Schizosaccharomyces pombe: one gene and its partner. The protein of the gene in region 1 interacts with the protein of each later gene in a pairwise test. Each region holds a gene or a part of one and is shown on either strand. Other genes may lie near its edges.

Region 1 (8,648 bases):
GCTAAAATGATCAACTAGAAAAACCTTGCAACCTAGCCTTGGCTAACTCTCGTAGCTTTTCAATTGTTTCTAACTCTTTTTTATTTCTTTCCTCAATTTTATTTCGAAGCTCTTGGTCGCGCTCAAGTCTTTCCATTTCTCGTTTTGAAGCCCTGAATTCTGACCGTTGTTTTTTTTGCTTCAATCGGGACTGAAATGAGTCCCGGTCTCCGTATAAGTCGGTTTCTTTCAAGTCTTCTTCATTGTCAGATGCTTCGCGATAATGCTTCAAAGCAGCTCGTTTTTCCTTCTTTTTCTGTTGCATAGCTTCTTTGCTTCCTGCTGGTTCTTTTGGAAGAATTTCATCCAACAATTCTGTCTCCCTTTTAGCTTGCGATTTAAAAGCTGATTTTCGGGATAGCTTTCTCAACTCGTTTAATTGCTCCTGCAATTCTCGTCGATCTTGTAAATTTTCCAAAGTTGGTCGACTTGGACCTACAAGACGAGCATAAGAGGGTTGAGATATTCTCTTTCCCAACGAATACCATTTACTTTTCATTTTTCCATCATTCCATCTTTTTACAAAGCGTCGCCAGAGGTCGTGTACAGAATCTTGATCACAAGTACCCAAATCGATCTGCTTCTCTTCCTTAACATATTCTTTAAATATTTCATTGAACATTTCTTTCTGAGTAATGTCTTTATAATTGATTTTCCCCTGCATATTCAATAAATATTTCGAACAAAATTGTACATGATTTTCTTGTAATTTTTCAAGTTCCTCAAACAAGTTAAACAAACGCGGAAATAAATAAAATTAAATTCAATAATACTTTACGTCGATCGGAGGTTCATATATTATGACTCTGGGTACAACATTTCAGATAGTGAAAAGCTCATGAGCTTGAAGTCGTACAAGGAAGAGTATGCCTAAAGTCAAATAGGAGTAAGCTTAATTAAATCAATAAATACAATGCCAAACTGTCATAAAATTTCTCAAAATAAGTTTGTCTGTTTAACAAGTTTAAAATTTGATATCACGATTTAAAAAAAATACTACATTAGTTGGTTTGCCTTACAATGTTTTGTTCACTAACTTATGTTATACCAACCATTAGCTATAATTGATTCAGCGAGAGAATAATTGCAAAATCATCTTCAGAAAGCGAAACTAAGAAACAAAAAAATTGTTTCTCTTTCAAAGATAACAGTCAAGGAAAAAGCAGCTACAAAAAATAAAAAATAAGAAAAAATCGTTGTTCAATTAAAATATGAAAACTGAAAGCATAGAGAGGAGAGGTCAAAGAGATGGGAGATATACCAGTAGTTAAAATAGAGCAAAGCAAAAACAGAGCGGCGTAGAAAATTAATCGCACACATAGTAAAGTCAAAGTACAGATAAACAGCAATATAAAAACTTTCGTTTCCACGTACTTTGTCGACTGATATAACCGATGAAATAAGATACGTGCATAAATTGTCTTCCTTTTTAGAAATTGGAGTTGGGGGTTACTTAGAAAATAAAATTCTCACATCCGTTTACTACTCTTTTAATTTTCTTGTCGGTTTTCATGAGAGGAATAAGTGGATTAAAGGAGGACATGCAAACTTTTAATGAGCATGAGCAGGAGAAGATGTTGCATGGGCTTGAGTCTCGGGTTTCTTAACAATGAGAGCGTCGAAGGCCTCACGCTCTTTCCTCTCCGCGATAACCTCAGCTAAAACAGGTCTGAGGTAATGGTAATCCTCCTCAGGCTTTGTCCATTCAGATTTTGGCAAAATTTTATTCTCAATGCTAAGTTGCATGGCACGGCGAATACGATAGACTCGATCGTAGGATTCCATCTTAGGCAAACGAGATAACGCCTTTTGAGTATCGTCATTCTCCTCCAACATCAAATCGTCGTATCGAAGACCATATTTACGGTATCCTGACAAATGCACATAGGCATTGGAGATGGGTAAAAGCAATTTCGTCAAAAATGGTGATTTTTGAATATACTTGGCAAGAGACACAGGTTTCATACTTAAACAATCACTTCAGCAAAAAAAAATTTCGTCACTACAAAATTTGCACTGAAATCAATAAAACTCTTAGTTTTGAATATTGGAAGAAGGTAAGATCTCATGGCCCTATAGTATGCCAATGAATCCTTCGGTCACCTGATGTTACCTGCACATAGAATCCTGAGCGGAATTAGAAAGTAATGAAAATCTGAATATCCTAGTATTCTCGGCTCATTTCTCTTAAGTTATTGTTTAACTCTAACGATTTTATAACCTAAACTAATTTAACGACGTGTCTAACATATATTCGGGAATGCACCATTGCTAGTATTCGTATGAACCAGAAGTTTGCTCAGGTTACATGTTCTCTTTCAGTACTAACCTATTGAAACGAATGAAATTTATCAAATAAAACTCGTTAGTATGAAAAATACTTAATTATATAGCTTTAATAGGAAAAAAAAAGTAAATTTATATTGGATCCCATTTGTGCGAATGCGCTAGCTCGAATATGTCGAGTTGCCAGAAAGGAGCTGAAAAACTTTAAACAAATGATAGCGACATAACCGCCTCTGGCAATATTAGTAACGAAATTTATTCCAAAATTGGATAAATTAATGAATGATTGGTTTGCAAAAGAATATATTCCATATTACTTTGCATCCACTTCTTTAAATAGTAACCAGATCAAGCCACCTTTCTTAAAGGATAAAAGTTGTGTTTCATAACATAATATGTGGCTAACACCAATATGCATAAATAGTAAATGAACATAGTAAAACGATTCAAACGCCATCCGCAAATTAACCCAACGAGGAACAAAATTGTGAAAGCAATGAGAAGCTTTGCATTTCGACGATTCCGGTGAAGAACGTTTTTCACCTGAATAACTTCTGTTGGATCGTTCTGAAGGGCTAAAGACTTACTAAAATGACTTTCAAGGCTCACTGGCTCATTTTGAATTTCGCGATTTTGACCATCCCCTGCTTTACCAGTATCTTTCTTTGCAGTGGACTTTAAAGTAGACACGGAAAAAGGTAAATTCTTCTCTATCACGTTATCACCTTTTAGAGATATGGAAGGGTTCAGGGAAAATTTACTTGGCTGATTAGACGTCGTATGAATAGAATCGTTTACTTTGTTGCCCACTTCTTGAGGAACCAGTTTCGATAAAGGAGAATTTTGAAGCTGAAGAGTAGGTTTAAGCATCGGTCGAACAGGACTAGATGTTGGAAGGGCGGCCATTTTTTTTTGAAGAAAAGTCATAGGGGATTCCTCCGGAGCTCTCTCACGAACAGACTGATTTCCCAAATGAGACGTTGCGTTGGTATTATTCAGAATTGAAATTGTCGCAAATTGCTGCAATTTATTCTGCCCACTAATTCCATCTTTTCTGTCACTCGATTCCTTTCCTATCCGATGCACAGAAGATGTACTTTCCTGACGCTTCTTGCGTGGTTTCAAAATTTCGCCAGTCAAATGAACTTCTGGAGGAGGACTTGGCTTTAAACATGAGATGCTAATCCATGTAAAACAAATGGTAACAAAGAAAAAGGCTGCATGTATTTGACGGAGTAAAAAATCACTTTCAAGATTGGTATCCGAGCTTAAGTTCAAAATTTCCGACTCATAACATGAAAGGAGATACAAGCAAGTTAAACGGATAATAAGATAAAGTGCCTGACATTGGATATACTGATCCCGCCCAAAAAGCTCCCAAGATGGATTGTCCATCATTTTGTACCAATACGGGTTCCAAAAGACAACGAAAAAACCAAGCCAATTAAAGTAAAAAATTTTGCTAGAGGATCCATCTAATAGGAAGTAAGAGATTGCTTTTAGAAATAAATTACGAATACCATCTGGTAATAAGCTTATTATCATAGAATGATACAAATGCCACACAATCGATTGCAAATAGAAAAACGAAAAACCAAATCCACGAAGTAACCAAAGAACAAAAGAAGCTTTTGGATAGTGATGGGGGACTTTTGCGTTTAGCTGTTCCTTTGACTTTTGCAGCCAATATCCTAAAACCTGATTTTTGGCTTCATAATCATTGGCATCAAGTTGGTCTTGAACGGAGTCATAGCATTCAGAGCAAACAATGGGAAATTTCTCTTCTATAGATTTTTTATACTCTGGTAATGCCTTCTCATAAGCCTGATAATCTGGATGTGATGAGTCTGGCAGATAATCAGCAAGCATCCGATTCACAATCAGTTGGTTCATTTGACATTTTTCACAAAAGGGGCTCTGAAAGGAAGAACTGCTTGGGAAATCCCGTATCGCGTAAAAAGGACCAACACCCTTGTCTTGAGTTGGGGTTGGAGGTCGATAATCCAGGATATCACCTTTCTCATCAATATGGTTGGTGGCTTCACAAATTGAGCAAGTCCAAGTAGACGTTCCGTCTCTAATTTTTTCCTTCTTCTTGTTGCAATAAAAACAAGTTACTGTTTTATCACCAAAAGTGGATTTCAATCCATCATCGGAATTTCCCAATCCAAGTGTAAACAATCGGCTAGATTCCATTTCCCATTATACCATTTAATGCAAAGTTCTCATAGAATCCTGTGTGTGCAAATTTAAAAAAAAAAAGGGAAACAACAAGTCAAACCAGCACACGTAAGAAGAAAACCAAACAACTGATATTCTGTGAGTTAACGGAAATAAAATGCATGTAAATATCTTTTATATCAAGGTACAAGGTGTAATGGTACAGAGGACCCCTTATACAGAATGACCTTTATCAAACACTTGTGCTGCTTGACAAAGTAAAAGAGAAGTACTAAATAACGAGTGAAGTAACAATTAGATACACTTGAATAGTATAAAAGTTTTCTTGAAATGTTGAGCAAGAAAACTCGAAGATTTCGACTATACAGTTTCCCCACGGTGCTCGTGGTGAGAATAGGGAAAAGGCCGACCGTCAGCAGGGTCCCAAGCCAATTCGTAGCGGGTTGTCAGAACAAAGTTCAAACAAATTGAGGATAAAAGGAGTTTTTGAAGAAATGAGCTGTTTAATTTTTTTTTGTTTGTATTTTCTTTTTCGAGCTTCCTAGAAAAAAAAAATTTGAACCATTGTACCAGAAGAACGATCAGTGTTTGTGGCTTATTTTTAGAGCCTTACTTATGATATGCTCTACGACGCATTGAAGTGGAATGCAATGAGAAATATCTTAATAAATTTTCTTTTTAATAAAACCAACCGCTCTTAATTTGTTAGGTGAAAGTCAACAAAAAATCTTTTTGGTATTTTATGCAAATAATTCGTTTAACAAAAAGTTTAATAGTTTTTAAGTTCGCTTAATTTTTAAGCTACAAAGGAACGAGTTTGAGAAGTTGTGTAGAAAAGTATTGACAAAATGTAGGCTGAGTGGATGTCTACAACAATGCCTACAAGCCATCGTTAAATGTCAAATGTATTGATGAAACAAGCCGCTTTTAAATGAAAGATTGCATTTGCATCTTAAGCTTGCGCCAACATTGACTGTTGCCCCATTGTAAAAAAAAAATTCAATAATGTCTGTCAATGGAAACGGTGTATGTCACTGACTCCAAAAGGTCATAATCATGAATTAAGCACGAAAACGAAAATTTCATACAAGTAGTTCATTTTTACTTTTCAATCCTTATTGCATGTTGAGAAAGGAAATCTAGTCTTGTAACTATAAGCAATAGACAGCATGATCATCTCTATTCTATTACAAGTTGATTAAAATTGATATGCTGCGCCATTAATTAACTTACGAGAGGCTCATCGCTACGATGAAATGGCTTAGACCATGATTATACAAAATATTATAGGGTAGAGACGATTAGGAAATTGGATGTCTTCGTAAACTTGAAATAGGACGAGTTGCGAAAGTTGATGTTTTACGTGGCTTGGGGAGCGTTGTTAGGAAAAGCATGATGAAGATGGCAAAATGGCTAAGCTAAGATAAACGATTTCATATTTAGTATTTAACAGGAAACAAAGCCCTTTGGAAAGAACCAAATTTTAATAATTTTTTTTTTTTACTTCATTTCATTACCTTTTATTTTTAAGTTGGACGCACTGTGGTTTTGAGATTCTGGATATTGGTATCCTTTTTCTTCTTTTCTACGATTCTCGAAGTTTTAAAAGTTTCAAAGTATTTTACCGACATTCGACAATATGTCGATATCTAATCAATCGGGTTTGGATATTTTGAGAGAAGTTGATGATGAAGGTCAGGAAAACTCTTTCTTGAGAAAGACTACAAGGAAAATCCAGCAGTTTTTTAAATCGGATCCGGGCTATCAATCTCGCAAAGCCGAGTACAACAGTCCTGCTAAGGCTACGGGCGATGTGAATATTAATGTTACGAGTCAGGATTGGTTATCCAAGTTGGATCGTAATCTATCCATCGAGAATTTAACAGGTAAAAGCTTGGGTATCGTAGTAGTGTCTGGGAGAAATAAAGGTCTCATAAAGAATCCGTTTTTAGGGGGGTTAGTGGATATTGTTATGCGTCGACAGGATAAACTATATCTCAAAAGTGTTGAGCAAGTGTCTTCTGAATATTCACCGATGCAGGAACAGGTGTACGAGTTCAAAGTAGATATGCCTTTGGTGCAGAAACGATTAGGGGCTTTTTTAAAGAAGAATCGAGTAGATGGATTAAGCCTTTCGATGCATTTTTCTACCGGCAACTATAGCTTGCCAGTATTAATTCGACATGTTTTACTATACGATTATTACACTGACGACATGAAGGACTCCCTATGGAGAGCAATGATCATCTACGTGTCCCGGCAGGTCACTTCCAATAAGTACACGAAATTTCATCTTTGGTGCGTACAAAAGCGGATTGGCAATATTAGAATGTACTTGGTACGACCGGGAGACGTTTATTCATTCCAAGGACAAACTAGTTGGGCCGCCATTTGCAACAAAAGTTACATGTGCAATATCCAGTTGGAGCAGAGTCCTGAAGTTAGTGTTAAAAGTTCTTTACCAAAATATAGCAATGAACCAATTTTCCAAAGCAAAACGATAAGTCAAGAAGAAGTTGGATGGTTGTTGTTTATGCTCTCTATAGGTAATCACGCACGTGCGTTTCCCATTCAAAATTATCTAGCCAATACTGTGATGGAAACAGTATTGCCTGTTGAACTGAGATGCCCTTTCCTTTCTAGATCGGTTGACTGTGAAATTTTTCAAAAGAACACCAAGCGTCGAGTAATGGAAAAATGGCGTCAAGAATTCAAAAAGGACCTTAATGTGTGCGAAGAATTGGAATTCAAAAATGTTAAAAAGAGTGGTTATATGCAGCCTCTTTTTGATCTTACCATGCCTCTAGGTTGCTTCGATAGCTTGGAAACAAAAGAAATGTTTTACTTACGGCATAACATTGCTGGATTCCAGGCAGATCTTACCCCATACCCCATGAGGATTTAATACATACTACATATTCACAAGTGCATTCTCTTAAGAAATTCGGTTTATTGAAAAAAAATTAAAAATTAAAAGATTAGTGCAGTCTTAACACGAATTTCCTTTTTATTAATGAAAATGATGAGATTAAGTCATGCACGAGGCAATTTAAAATATTTTGTTACTGTGCTTTTTTGTTTCTTTTGTTTTTCTGTTTTCCATTACTTACGACAACTTTAAATTTCTCATTTTTGCATACTTCTGTTTTCTTCTCTTACGATTTTGTATTTATATTCATCATCTCTTTTTTTCTGTTATTTTGTTGCATTTTCATATTTCATTTCGGATAATGGCCGCTTATAATTCATTATTATTATTATACTGTTTTCCTTTTTCGCTAGCTTTATCTTTAAAAATCTATATTTCGTTAAACAGTTTAGACGCTGTGAAAATAAACGGTTTACCTAAGTCTTAATATATGTATAAGTAAGCTCGATATGTATAGCGTCAGTAAACAAGCACCTGTTGTTTTAGACAGAAAGATCATAATCATTTATAGCAGCAGTAGAAAGTACGAAATTCAGTTTAAGGCAAAATTTTCCTAATTGCAAATATTGGAGGGATTTTAAAGCATACTAATTATCGCTTTAATTCTTTCCTTTTTGACATTCAACGAAATATCTGCAAATGAGACGCTCAGTTAATGAAACCAATGACTTTCAACTTGGGAACTGATTCATTCCTATTGCAAAATGTTGAAAACTTCTTTCCTGAACCGCGAAAATCTCTTAAACTAAATCGCATTCTATCTATTCGCTTTTCAGCGTCTTGAATGAAAAATAGAGCAGAAAACAAGCCTTCAGCACAAGAGAGAGCATGAAAGTCGTAACGAGTAAACGACTGTTAGGAATGACAGCAATACTGGACTACTCTATGATACACCATGTTGCGTATTTCTATATGTCACAAGCTCTACATTGTATTATAGATACCCGTTGATAAAAACTATTAGTAAGATTGTAAATAGAGCTTCTACTGAACCTCGTTTCACAGTTCAGTTATGAGCTATATCGGTGACCGATACTAACAGACTTCTTATAACAATAAATATAATATTGTTAGTTAACATACCGCTTACCGCTATGTTGTAAGTCGCTAGAAATCTCGCCGCAGTTCTATATATCGTTAAATTAGTTCCAAACTGCATGGACAACAAATAGTGAACACCAAAATACCACTTAACTACTCATTATCTTACACT
Region 2 (7,151 bases), on another chromosome or scaffold:
ATTTTTTTGTCCTCATTAAAAATTCTTTTGGTAGAGTCATTACTAAGTTTTTGCTTCGTAGACTACATGAAAGAAGCTGGTGAGGCGAAGTAATATTATGATTCAATACTACCTAAGATATAGCAAACATCAAAAGGGTACAAAATTCTAGGAAATCATCTGGCAACGTTAGATATCAATATGTAAATAGAAATAGAAAAACATGTAAATCTAATTACATACTAAGTCAATAAATGGAAAGGAGTCTGGTAATTTTTGATTAATTAGCAGTGGTTTACAAACGAATAGTTACTAGTTATTGCAAATCAAAATTAGTGTCGATGACATGTGTAAGCTTGACATTCATTTTATTTCAAAATAGAAAAGTAAAGATAAGAGCAAAATTTTCATTTCGTATACGAAACTAGCAAACAACTACAACGACGTGAACAGCAAAAACGAGTGTATTTGAAGTAAATTATTTGTGAGATGATAGTACCAATCAACCCAACTGAACAAACAACGTTTCAAAAGGGAGGTGGTAAGAAATTGCAAAGCAAAAAAAACAAGTCATTTGAAAAGAAAGGAGTGAATGACTAGATGCGAGACTTCCAAATTTTCTGGATTTATCGTTCTAAAAGAATAAACCGAAAAAAAACAAACTTGGGAATGCTAAAGAGACTCGAAATGTAAATTAGCAAAAAGTTTGCAAAGGATATATAAAATCGCTCACATTGTTCCTTTATAGCAACTGAAGGTAGAGCGGGTAAATAATGCATGTAATACCAACCATAGAAATAGAAATACGTGACCAAAAGAGTAAAACCAACGGGGAAAAATGAAATGGGAATGATGAAAACGAAAAAAAAAAGTAAAATCTTTTCAGAGACAAACTCTTCTGAGTCTAGATATGTTGTTTAATGGTTCTTCTTAGCAGAGTTAGCGATGTATTCTCTATCATCATCACCTTCAACTTCATTACGAATAGCCTCGTACTCCATCAATTCGACACGAAGAACATCCTCGTTTTGGCGAAGATCTTTGTCAAACCATGCCTCATCGGGGGCCCGGAAAGAGTTGCCGAGGCGATCAAAGAGGGTGGTGAATTGGCCGTAATTGTAGTTGAAATAAATGTGATGGCCATTATGGTGAGCAGCACCATTGATGATGGGGTTGTTGGAGATGTATTTACCATCGTGAATCATGATGGACCAGAAGTTGACAAAGGTGAAAAGAGCCAAGTAGGTCAACTTGTGAAGGGGAAAGAAAAAGGGGAAAAGATGGTAAGGAAGAGATTGTAAGAAGCCATCAGCGGATTTGAAAGCATGGGATGCATATGGAGTGCAGATAATCCACTTATGATGGAGTTTGTGAAGACGAGGGTATACATAACGGTGATGAAGGAAACGATGAGCCCAGTAAATGCCAAAATCTGAGAACATGACAAAAAGAGGTAAGGAACATAAGAAGTATTTTAAACCGTAATCACTGATGTTGTCGTATAAGTAGCTGTACCCATGCAACTCAGCCAAAAACCACGGAACCGTCAATAACGCCATACCAGGTAAGTTTTGTAAAGCCGTTAGAACTTCCATGAACACCTGGTTTTTTAAGAACTTTGGGTGATCCATCAGACTTTTATCAAACACAAATTGGTAGGAAAGCGACGCAAATGTTAAATACAAGAACATACCGCCAAACCAAGTTAAAAAAAACAAACTGATCGACTGTCTAACGATATTGTCGCGAGCTAATGGATATACAGCATTGTATATCGAATCCAGCGCATATTGGTCAGCATAGTTGAGTAGGTAGTCCATTGAGGTGTTTGCTTAAAATCTATTGACCGGTGGTAGCGTATAAGAAGTACCAAAAAATGGTCTGATTTTGATTGCGATATCTAGTTGGCTGCTATTAATTAGTCAATAGGAAACCGAGTTATCTTTTTCGTTAAAGTTTTTATCAAAAAACAAAGAGGTGGCTTATACACTTCGGTTAGTGAGAGGTAGATAGGGCAGATCGGAAAGGACATCACTGTGGCGGGAAGAATCTCTTACACTTACTATGTGGGGGAATAGTACTACGGGGGCTCGCTATTCAACAAGTACAACGAGGTTGGACATGAATGTTTGATATCGAGCAAGTGGGTATATATTAGTCGAAAATAATCAACTTTACGATACAAGATCTAATCTTAAAACTATTATAAGTAAATGAGATGAAAAATTAAATAAGAAAGATAAAAAATTGAAAAAAGAAGGTTAACATTCCTCCATCTCGGGTTTGTTCTCAAAGGCTTAGAGGTTACGCTAGATTGCTATTCTTAGACTTGGACTAATTTGGTACCCCCATTTTGTTCTTTTTAATCCACTTGCATTTGTAAGTCTAGGAACGATAATGGTATTTCTCAAGAGTATGCAATATGTTGCTGATGTTTTAAGACGATAAATACGCAGTTAGAACATAGTCGTTTAAAAAAAAAAAAAAATAAATAAAGTAAAATAATAAAATTATTTAAAAACAAAAATTTTGGACAAGCCAGAACTCGAATCTGGGACCTCTTCCATGCTAAGGAAGCGTGATAACCATCTACACCACATGCCCATGTTGAAATACTCGCATATAATATAGTATATAATTTACATACTTTACATTTTCATTATATCTTAAATACAACACTTTTAAAATGGAAATAGCGATTATTCAGAAATCATAATGTTGCTCGCGCATAAAGTAAACATACAAATAGTAGCTTGTAGCCCAATTTTTTTTTTAAAAAAAAAAAAAAAAAAAAAAAAAAAAAAACTAATGAGATAAAACATTTATTACTTAGTTTTAAGAAATAACAAGAAAAGCTCGAATGGCTTGGCAAACCAGGAAACGCCTGCGAATTCCTGAAATTTTCGTAATATTATTCGTGCCCTTGATTAGGGAAATCATTCATCTAACATTTTAGATAAACAAAAGACAGTGACTATTCGCCATCCCTAGTCTTTCACAAGCTCAATAGAAATCGACTTGTAAAGATAGAAAAGGAATCAATAGGCAGCAGTCAATCAGAAAACAAGTGTGGTATTTATTTACTTTTTTTTCTTTTCTTATTCTCTTCAGGCGTCATACTGTAGAAAAATCTGTAACGAAGAAGTATACATGTCCAATCAAAGCACTAATTAAATCAAGCAGTGGAAAGATCCCAGTTCGTAACCAGCGCAATAATACCATTACCCATGGAACATAAGGTGCTTTTACGTCGAAAAGACCTAGTATCGAGATTCTGTACAGTGGATGTTTCCACGACCATATGTATAACATGGTAAATGAAAAGTAAGAAGCTGCAAATGGCATGTAGGAAAAATAGGAGGTAACTAAAAGAGAAAACCATACTATCAATACCGTTTTTAAGAAGCTCTGTGTTTGAGGCGGCGGACTAGATCTTTCTAACATACTCATGAAACGAAGTAGAAACGACAAATATAAAATCAACTCTAATCCAAAAGGCCCAACATAAAGGAATGTAGTTATTGCCCTCCAGTACTAAATAAATCTTGTTAACAAGCTAGAATTAGGGAAATCACATGTTATGTCAAACATTACTTCAATCACAAACCGTACCTCCCCTTTTGCTAAAAACAGTTTCCAATTAAAAAATATCTTAAGATCGGATACATAACCAAAATTCTATATTTGTAAGCGATACCATTTATGAAAAATTTGAGTAAACATACCACTGCCAATGTTGTAAATAGGGTTCCAAGTACGATGTATCTGCATAAAAATTAGCGTGTACTCTCAATATTTCATTTCTTACCTCGTAACCGGAGGAGTTTGGCTTATAAATTCTGGCAAAATTGCCATTTTTTATATATTTTAGCCAGGATGTACTTTTCGTAGAAGTTGTACTCGGTTAACAATGTACTACGAACCTTCTTATAGTTATTAAGTAGTTCGATCTGTCGAGATTTCTATGTTAGGATCAATGCGATTTTAATGAATAAATAAATAAATAAAAACAATTAATATCAGCGATATACAAGAAATATAGATTAATATATTTAAAGATGTTAACATATTTACATCACCATCCTATTTAAACCAACATTGAAGACTCAAATGTAAGGTGGCTGAATAGAAAACAGCTAAACAAAGCTGTATATATCCTCAATTAACTTGGAATACGCACTATTTTCTAAGGCTTGTTGACGCATCTTGTCATATTTTTGAACACTTCGGTAGAAATCTAAAATAAAGTTAATACTTTGCAGATAAACAGTAAAAAATGTAAACAATGATAGGATTCCTTCATGTTCGTTAATAATACCTTCTAAAATCCTTCCTGAAATTAAACACCATAGTTCGTCTTTACTTTTCTTAGCTAGTTCTAAAGCGGAAATTGCCATTTTTTCAGCGTGTTCTAGTTTACCAAACCTCTCGGATAATTCCGTCAAGGAGATATATTGTAATTGGGTATTTGCATATTCAGAAGATTGCTGAATAACTCGTGGCAAAACGTTACTTTGATGCACTTGGGGACCTTCTCGAATAACTTTTAGGACTAACAACCATAGTTTAAATATTTTCTTTTCATGTTTGTTACATAACGGTTCAATCGACTCTAAGCATCTACTGGCGGCAGCACTGTCTTCTAAAATATTGATCAAATTGAGGGTAGATATGATAAATGTGTCTGTCCGAAAAGAAAAATTTTTAGCAGTTTCTCTGTAATGAACTTCAGCCTTTTTTAAATCTCCTCTTTTTTGCAGATACATCCCTTTCAAAATACCAAGAAAGCCAGTTTGATCATCTTCAGTAGACTGTAAAATCCTTTCGGCCTTAGATAAACGGGATCTGCTCAAGTATGTAGCAATAAGGTAATACTTCATGTCTTTCGTAATATTATTGATCCATTTCTGAGATTCTAAATACTCTAGCACACACCGTTCTTGATGTTTAAAGTCTCCGGTAATCCGCAGTCCTTCCTGAAGAAAACGGCTAGCTCTCCCTGATGTGCTATCCGAGATGTAACAAAATCCAGAAATCAGATATATTAACAAATATAGTTGATTTATACTCATCCATTTGATGGATATTTTGCTAGTATCATCAATGAAAAAATCAATATAGGAAGAAGGCCAAACGAATGTCTCTGATTCTAACTTAGAATGGATTTTGGGAAGTATTTCTCGAGCGAGCAAAATCTCACCTTTACGCAAGCACTGTGCAATTTGAGTTACCAAACAAAGAATGGAAATTTGATCAGAGTCTGTAGAGATCTCATCCATTGGCAATGACTGATTCAATATCATTGCTAATAACTGAAGATGTTGGTGTTTATGATGATTTGCATAATTATGTATACTATTTGCAACTTGAGATACATTTTGAAATTCGAGTGTTGCTAGTAAGAATTCATAGACCCATCGATGAGGATTAGATTGATTGTTAGAGTGGTATATTTCTGCAACTTTTGCATATTCTTCTGCCTCCCGTACACACCTAGTTAAGAGAACCTTAGCAGCCTTTGGAGAAGTTCTACAAAAAACACGACTTAATAGCAATTGTAATGAAAACTTGTACTCAGTAAGGTTCTAATAATGTCAATAATGCACGTCTAAATATTTACCATACATGTTGTTCTGCAATGATTAGTGCTCGATTCAAAATTGCCTCTACATCTGCATATTCGACGGTATGGCTTAACAAAACTTCACATATGCGTTTTCGTGTCAGTAGTTCAACGCGAGGTTCCATTTTAGTATCCTAAAATTTAGCTTTGGACTTTTTAAAAAATATTACCATTAGAACAGAGTAAAGGCATTGCAATCCTGTAGATAGCAAACGTCCAAAAGAATCGCAAACACCACAATCTTGGAGAACCTTTTCAGCATTTTTAAAATAAGTTTCTGCCAAAGGCCATAAAAACAAATGCCTCGAAGTTACGAGGATTCTTGCATCGGTCTCGTTCAATCCAGTCATAACATGTTGGTAGTGAATTGTAATAGAGGTTTGATAAACAGTAATAATTGGGAAGTACGCAAGTGACTATTAACAATACCATTGACTTTAATCAATAAATTTAAAGTAATATTAGGACATATAAATTTTGGCTTTTTGTCTTACTAGATAGTTACAATCCGAAACAAACTCAAACTAAATATTTTACGAAATTCAATAAAAGAGGTTAACTTAATTTAAAATAATTAAAAATATATATATATATATATTATACGAAATGGTTTTTAATTGCTAAAATTATACCAAAAACCCGGTCCTTAGAAAACACAAAACAGCCATTTTTTTAAAAAAATTCACAAAACTATGCCAATAAATCAATATTTACCATACGTAATGCATCAACAGCCCAACTAGGATAATTGGACTTATCACCATGGTTCCATTCATGGAAAAAGTTTTTGACAAATGAAGGGAACTCGTCCTTTATAATGGACTCCCGCATATCTCGCATAAGTTGGAGCTGGAAATGGACATTATGAATTGTCATGAGGTTGGCACCGACGGTTTCCTTCGAGACTAAACTATTGAAATAAGCACGAGTAATTCCCCATCCACCTTCAAGTTCTGTTTTACAACAAGGGCAGGAACAACCTTCTTCAAGAGGTCCAATATCATTCCTAAACTTTTGGTTCCTTAAGTTTATTACACCTTTGCGTGTCAAAGCATTACCGAACCTAGCCGTTCTGGTAGGATAAACACAGTCAAACATGTCCATCCCAAGGGCGACGCATACTACCAAATCTTCTGCATATCCGACACCCATTAGATATCTTGGCTTGTTATCGGGAAGTATAGAAGTACAAGTATAAACTCTAAAATATTGTTAGATTAGAAAAAGGTAAAAAACCATCTTACGTCTCGCAGAAAGCGTGTTTTTCTTCACCACCAGATAATCCACCAACAGCAATCCCTGGAGTATTTCTTTTGACCATTTCACGACAACAAATTTCTCGAAGTCGTTTGTCCAAACCACCTTGAATAATACAAAACAAGTTTTGGGTTTCCGGGCGCTTATGCGCTTGTATACATCGGTCTAGCCAGCGAATTGAACGATACATAGCTTCTTCCATTCTCTTGCTTTCAGTCAGTGTATGAACAACATCGTCTAATTGCATCATAATGTCTGAGCCAATACTGTTTTGTAGAGAAATAGAATGCTC

The links. The genes of interacting proteins can lie anywhere in the genome.
Region 2: the proteins of ima1 (region 1) and SPOM_SPAC1687.17C interact in a protein complementation assay, tested with the Schizosaccharomyces pombe proteins (one large-scale study listed by BioGRID).

The regions. Positions count from the first base shown.
Region 1 is NC_003421.2:1,885,952-1,894,599, forward strand, and holds ima1 (inner nuclear membrane protein Ima1), read right to left. Parts: upstream 4,914-8,648; 5' UTR 4,522-4,913; coding exon 2,674-4,521; 3' UTR 2,152-2,673; downstream 1-2,151. Other genes in the region: SPOM_SPCC297.06C (uncharacterized protein), read right to left, coding at 11-703; qcr7 (ubiquinol-cytochrome-c reductase complex subunit 6), read right to left, coding at 1,591-2,004; SPOM_SPCC737.04 (uncharacterized protein), read left to right, coding at 6,146-7,411. UniProt on the Schizosaccharomyces pombe protein: Inner nuclear membrane protein that specifically binds to heterochromatic regions and promotes the tethering of centromeric DNA to the SUN-KASH complex.
Region 2 is NC_003424.3:932,156-939,306, forward strand, and holds SPOM_SPAC1687.17C (Der1 family protein), read right to left. Parts: upstream 3,886-7,151; 5' UTR 3,835-3,885; coding exon 3,788-3,834; intron 3,745-3,787; coding exon 3,705-3,744; intron 3,658-3,704; coding exon 3,592-3,657; intron 3,525-3,591; exon of another isoform or gene 3,514-3,524; coding exon 3,094-3,513; 3' UTR 2,786-3,093; downstream 1-2,785. Other genes in the region: C-5 sterol desaturase Erg31, read right to left, coding at 897-1,799; cohesin loading factor Ssl3, read right to left, coding at 4,116-4,216, 4,298-5,564, 5,605-5,736, 5,773-5,952; qtr1 (queuine tRNA-ribosyltransferase), read right to left, coding at 6,293-6,803, 6,847-7,151.